Ovis aries: one gene and its partner. The protein of the gene in region 1 purifies or fractionates together with the protein of each later gene. This does not show direct contact. Links are inferred from orthologs where the notes say so. Each region holds a gene or a part of one and is shown in the gene's direction. Other genes may lie near its edges.

Region 1 (2,359 bases):
CGCTATTTAACATAGCTGATCACTCCCTTTTTCTTGAAATAACTTAGCTTCTGTTGACACCACACTTTTCTGTGGGGCATCCTCATCCTCTAGCCAAACTTTCAATATTGGTGGTTCTCAAGGCTTAGTCTTGAATACTCTTTTCTGTCGCTACAGTCTGCATTCCTGTGACTGAATATTACTTGTATATTGTTAATTCATACAAAGTATTTAACACAAAGCATCTAGAGTGATGTTCTTACAAATGTAAGCCAGTTCATGTCAGTCCCATGCTTAAAACCCTTCAGGAGCTCCTACTGTACTTAGGAAACAACCCAAAGTTCTCACCATGCCAAGAGGCCCCTCTGTGATCTGGACCCTCTGTTCATTTCTTATCTGTCCTGTAATACTGCTTGCTCACTGTGCTCTAAACATGCTGACTAGCTTTGTGTCCTCCAAATATACCAAGTTTCTCCCCACTTTATAACCTCTGCTATTAGTGTTCTCTCTGTCTGGAAGGGCTGCTTCCTTTCTATCCTTCAGCTCCTGACTCAAATATCTCCTCAGAGGGGCCCAAAGACCACTTCATCTAAGGGAGATGCTGACCTAGGCACTACAAATCACTCTGTTTATTTACTTTATGTTGATTATCTCACTCTTGTTGGTTTACTTCTGTATTTTCTATCTTCTCTATTCAAACATAAGCTGCCTGCAGGCAGAACTTTTTCTGTGTTGTTCACACTGTACCTCCAGAGCCTGGAAGAGTACTTAGTACACAGCAGCCACTTGATAAATGTTCCTGAATGAATGAATGTACAAGAGAATAGAAATGAGGCCCTGCATGATCGAAACTTCAAGCCTGGAGTCTGCAGCTAGAAAATAAAAGTGTTCAGCTCTCTTTCTTCCTTCGTCCCTCTTACCCTCTGTGTCTCCTTTCCTCCCTGCTTTCTTCCTCTCTCCCTCTTTCTTCCTTTCTTCCTCCCTTCCCTACATTCCCCTCCTCTCCCTTTCCATCATAAGTCAACTTGGCAGTAACAGAATGGCCCTAGCTGTAATAGCCTTAGAATAAGAGGTCTCGAGCTACCGTGTGCCATTTGGAGCCCTATTTTATCAACTTTAAGTCTCTTGATGGAATCTCAGGAGCAGAGAAATATGGCAGTGCAGAGTCAACAGGGAGCTGTTCCCAGAACACTGTCCCCATTAGCCCATCTTCATAGCGCACTGTCTTTTATGGGATGCTGCCCTTAATGCATAGCGCATCTTCCTCGGCAGGCTGAGGAGTAGGATCTCTGTTCAGCCTCCTCTGGTGTTTTTCCTCAGGGATCAGTAACGGGGAAGTGGTGGACTGGATGGACTCAACTGGGGAAGAAGTGAGCCTGTGGCAGAAGATGCGACAGTACCCAGGGTCTTGGGCCGAAGGGACTCTGCAACTCCGTTCCTCAATGGCCAAGCAGAAGCTGGGCTTGTGAGCCCTGTCCTGCTCTGCAGGTCCATCCCTGTCCAGGGCAAGTCAGAGGAAGTGAAGAAACCAAGGGTGAAGATTTATAATTTGTGTGTGTGTGTGTGATGTATGTGTGTGTATGTAAATGTGTATTTCTACAGCCCTCATTATGCTAGAGTGATGTAGACTTCCCCTTTTTAAAGCAGGCTCAAGAATAAGGGTCTCTTCAAAATATTTTTATTTGTGCATTAACTACTATATATTTTCAGAATCCTGGATTCTTATATCTTTATGAGATTTCATTTATCTTTTAAAATAACTTGTTAATCACCTGTCTTGTTATCCTGGTTCCTCCTTCCATAGGAAGCCCTGGCTGCCTTTGGCACTTGTACTGGTCTGTGTTTCAGGGTATGCCTGGTCTGACGCCAGGGCTCTGGGAAGCAGGGGTGGTTTACTAAAGACAGAAGAAGATTGGAGAGAGGTGACTGGGTCCCTTCTCTCTCCTCCATTTTATGCTTTTCACTCCATTTCCACCTTGACACATTTCTGAAACTTAGTTTTTAACTCTTGTTTGGAGCAGTTTCCGCCTTGCTTGAGTCTAACAGTTTTCCTGGAAATGCTAAGAAGTCTAAGTTGCTTCCAGTTCTGAACACCTTCCCTAGACCTCTGCAGGACCCTTATGATAGAGTTGCTTTAGAAGAGCACTTTAGTTAGATAATGGCCTTTGGACTAGGTCACAGGCATGCCCAGTACAGGCTTTTCAGTGGTTCCAGAGGACCAGCAATGGAGGATCTCTCAGCCCGTGCTGATTCTTTGCATTTTAAACTGATATAGCAGTTGTTAGAAAGCTCCTAATGGAATAAAAGGCATTTTCGCTCTCACATACCACATCTTTTGTATTGTTTGTGTCCGCCATGTGTTACAGTCTACACACTTTGA
Region 2 (4,291 bases), on another chromosome or scaffold:
GAATGGAGGCCGAGGTCTCGTTCTTCCGCGCCAGCCCCCATTCTGACTTTTTCACATCAAGATCGTTGGGGGATGACGGGTCATCTTGGACCCCAGAGCCTCCATCTCTGAGTCTAGTTTTGCCAGGATGGTGGAGGGAGGACTCTCCATCCCTGTCTTTTAGCTCAGGAGTCCAGCAGGAGCACAGCATCTCCTTCCCCACCCCACTCCTTTATTGCAGGGTCTTTAAACCTCACTGTTTCCTACTTTTGGGGGGTTGTTGTTGTTGTTTGTTTTTTGTTGTTGTTTGTTTTAACCGCAGACTTTGCGAGATTAGGGGACAGGCTGTTTTCCTGCCCTACTTCCGCCATTTGAATTTTTCTCTGGAAATGGGGCGCAGGAAGGAGAGGGGTTCCCGGAGCGTCCGTCAGCCCCTTCTTTTCCGGCAATTGGTGGCGGAGGGTGGCTCTCTTGATCCCGATTTCTCCTTTCTTCATCTCAGAAACAGGGTGGAGCATCTACTAGCCCCACCCCCTTCAGGGGTCTTGAGTGTGTTAGTCGCTCAATGGTGTCCAGTTCTTTGCGACCCCATGAACTGTTATACAGCCCACCAGGCTCCTCTGTCCATGGAATTATCCAGGCAAGAATATGGAATGGGTAGCCATTCTCTTCGCCAGAGGATCTTCCCAACCCAGGGATCGAACCCAGGACTTCCGCATTGCAGTCAGATTCTTTACCGTCTGAGCCACCAGGGTACATATCAGCAATGAGACAGGGTCTATCTTGATCCCTATTTCAGCTATTTCTTCTTTTATACTTACTTTGAACCCTGTAAATAAGAGATATAGAGCACTTTCTCGAACCTCGCTTCCTCTTTTCTGAAATTGGGAATAGGGGGAGTTTAATGAGCGGTCACAGCACCTTGGACTGAACGGCTACCTCCCGAGTCTAAGACCTGGGGTGCGTGGGGGCGGGGAAGGGGAACGCCCCCAGAAGACTCAGGCTCAGTTGAGGCCTCAACCTCTGGGCCCTTCAATCGCCCGGAAACCACCATTGGACAGGAGGAGGGGTTGGCAATCTTTGACTGGTTACTTACCCTGTCGCTCGAGCACTTAAGCCAGTGAGAAGGCGCTGCGAAGCCCCGCTTCCCTTATACTGTAGAGAGGCGGAGCCAGCAAGCGATTCCTCCCCTCCTGCACCGCTTCTGCTAGCTACTGGATGCGCTCTCTGGGCCCCGCCCCGTTCTCGCCTCAATCTGTGCAAGAGCCCCGCCCCTCCCGGCTCTGCCTGCGACAGTAGACCGTATCTCCATCAGTGGCTCCGCCCTAGAATGGCATCACGGCCGTATCTGCATGTGAGGCCCCGCCCCGCCCTTTGCAGGACGTCACCGAGGACTGCAGGGGCCTCAGCCGCTGCCGCCGCCTCCGCTGCAGCGCAGCCCCACATCAGCACACCGGGGGCCCCGTCACCGCCACTGCCAAAAAAGTCGCCGCCGCTAGGGTCGCCACAGCATCAGTGCAGAACAAGGTGAGCTCCCAGGCCTCCAGGTGCGCTTCCGCGCCGAGCACCTATATAACCTTGATTTGACTGGTGGTCTGCTTGGGATAGGGGACGAAGTTGGCCAGCCTTAAATGAGGCAGAAGGATGCTGCGGTCGCGAGTCTGGGGAGGGGGAGGGCCTCGGCTCCCTCTACCTGCCCTGTCCTCACCCCCACCCCCATCCCTCCATCCCCGGCTCTGCGGTGGAGGGGGAGGGGAGATGAGGCGAGTGCCTTGCGGGAAGCTGTGCGCGCGGGAGGCTCTGCGTGCGCGTGCGCGTGGAGTGCACACTCGTGTGCGCGCCCGCCTGTGCAAGAGGGTCTGTGTGTACCCTTGCTTGTTTATCAGGGTATGCTCCTGCATACCTTGGGGATCCCGACCCAAGACTGTGAGTGTTACAGGCATGTGGAGGCAGACGCGTGGACTGCTCGTGTGCGCGCACAAGTGTGCCTATGTGCACAGAGATGTGTGCCCGTGTAGGTGACGTGTACTGGGCTGCATGGGTGGAGGACGCATTGCGCACGGTGGGTTTTCACATTTGTATATACATGTTGGCGTGCAGACAGGTGTCTGGCTCTTTCTCGTGCATCGAGCTTGTCCCAGTATGTGCCCTGCTGTGTGCACGTGAGCGTGTGCACGCCGCGTGCCTGTCACGTGATATAGCTGTCACAGCTCGAGCTCTCCCAGCCTGGGAGTCTGGGAGAAGGACGGCAGACACGCGTCCCCGCGGTACCGTACACGCGTGTGCACGTGCGCCCGCGAGGCTCAGTTCTGAGGAACATGAATGATTGATGGGGGGCGGGGCCGGCCGCAGTTGGTCACCTCTTCTGGCGCAGCTGTAGGGCTTAGGTTACAACCAGGTCCGGGGTGCAGGCCTGCTGGAGGGGGCTGCAAGGTGTCTCCATCCCCTTCGCTCTGAGGTCCTCCCCTGGAACCTCAGGCCTTTCAAGGTCACGGCCCGCCCTCTGCGGTGGGGCGCGCCGTTAGCACTGGGGCTCCTGATGGGATAAGAGTAATCTCTGTCTCTCGCTGGGAGCTCTCTAGCCTGAGCCTGGGCGTTTGGGGACGGAGGGGATCCCTCACCTTCGCCTACGCCCCACACCTGCAGATGGCATCCGCCACAGACGCTCGCTATGGGCAGAAGGAATCTTCGGACCAGAACTTCGACTACATGTTCAAAATCCTCATCATCGGAAACAGCAGCGTGGGCAAGACATCTTTCCTCTTCCGCTATGCAGACGACTCCTTCACGCCTGCCTTTGTCAGCACTGTAGGCATCGACTTCAAGGTCAAGACCATCTACCGAAACGATAAGAGGATCAAGCTGCAGATCTGGGTGGGTCCAGCTGGGGGGCCTTCTGGCTCCATCACTCTCCCCCCACCAGGAACAGCAGCCCCAGCTCTGCCTATTTCTTTCCTGTCTAGATTCACTCATTACATACTGGGCATTTATGAGGTGCTTACTGTGTACCAGGGGCTAGAGGCACAGAAGAGAGTGTCCGGTTTCTCCCATCAGTGCTCTCCAGGGGTGGGGAAGGGGTAAATGCTGGGTCCTGTCCTACCCCTGACATCATCAGATGCATCGCTTGCTGAGTGCCTCAGTTTCCCCATATTCAAGTTCCTCCATGAGTGTCTGGATGAGGTTTCAGAGGGATCCTGACCCCCCAGCCTCATTCCCTGGGCCAAGAGCAGGCTCCTCCACCAGGGTCTTCAGGCCACCTCCCTCAACACCTCTGGGTCCTAAAGGGATCTGATAAATCCCAAGCCAGAGCTGGTTGTTCCCTGCTCTCAGTCCTTCCATGGCCCCCACCTCACTCTTGGTAACACCTGCAACCTTCCCTTGGCTGAGGAGACCCTGCCTGGTCATCCCCTGTTGATACCTCATCTCATCTGTCTCCCTCCATCTCCTCAGCCTCTTCATTGTTCCTCAAATGTACCAGACCCAGTTCCACTTTAGGGCATTTGCCTAGACTTTCCTTCTCCCGACCCCTGTATGACTCCCTCCCTCATCCTTCAAGTTTTTAAATTGTCCCCCAACCCACACTGCCCATCCTTGCCTGGTTTTTTTTTCTTCTCCTGTCTCATTACTTTCTGACAATACATTTCTGTGAGCTGAGGATGCATTTTCTTTCTTGTCATGGGTTGATTCTCTGTTTCCTGCACAGAGCTGTCAATTCCAAAAGGGCAGTGATTTTGGCCCATTTTGTTAATGACTGTGTCCTCAGGGCTCAGCACAGGGTGTGGCACAGGTCCCTGTGTGTCAAATGAATGAAGGAATGATGCTGTAGGTACCTTGGGATCACTGGTACTACATTCCCTGGGATAGGCAGCCGACTCACTCTTCCTGACCCACTGTGCCTCTGGGCAAGCCCCTGCTCCTCTAAGCCTCAAGGGGGCTGGCCTCCACCATCTCAGAGTTCATTCCCATGCTGAGGAACTTCCATGTATCTCCTCTCTGACACCCCACCTCTTCTTCCCAGGACACAGCGGGGCAAGAGCGGTACCGGACCATCACGACAGCCTACTACCGGGGCGCCATGGGCTTCATCCTCATGTACGACATCACCAACGAGGAGTCCTTCAACGCTGTGCAGGACTGGTATGTGAGCCCCCACCTGCCCTCTTCTGAGCCAGGCTTCGTGTAAAGCCTGGGGTTCAGGCCGAGACCAGAGAGTCCCAGCCCCTTGGCAGAAATGTAAATAACGATATCGGGGTCCCAGCTATGCTATCAATCTATAAACATTAAAACAATGTGGCATCAGCTCAAAAGAATG

What was found. The genes of interacting proteins can lie anywhere in the genome.
Region 2: the proteins of SYTL4 (region 1) and RAB3A purify together in Homo sapiens (affinity purification with mass spectrometry; 3 studies listed by BioGRID and IntAct, counting the BioPlex papers as one, with this or other methods). This does not show direct contact. The link is inferred for Ovis aries from reciprocal best matches to the Homo sapiens genes SYTL4 and RAB3A.

Annotation. Positions count from the first base shown.
Region 1 is NC_056080.1:132,458,750-132,461,108, reverse strand, and holds part of SYTL4 (synaptotagmin-like protein 4), read left to right. Parts: intron 1-1,299; coding exon 1,300-1,448; 3' UTR 1,449-2,359. UniProt on the Homo sapiens protein: Modulates exocytosis of dense-core granules and secretion of hormones in the pancreas and the pituitary. Interacts with vesicles containing negatively charged phospholipids in a Ca(2+)-independent manner.
Region 2 is NC_056058.1:4,780,617-4,784,907, forward strand, and holds the start of RAB3A (ras-related protein Rab-3A), read left to right. Parts: upstream 1-1,370; 5' UTR 1,371-1,506; intron 1,507-2,625; coding exon 2,626-2,853; intron 2,854-3,997; coding exon 3,998-4,116; intron 4,117-4,291. UniProt on the Homo sapiens protein: The small GTPases Rab are key regulators of intracellular membrane trafficking, from the formation of transport vesicles to their fusion with membranes.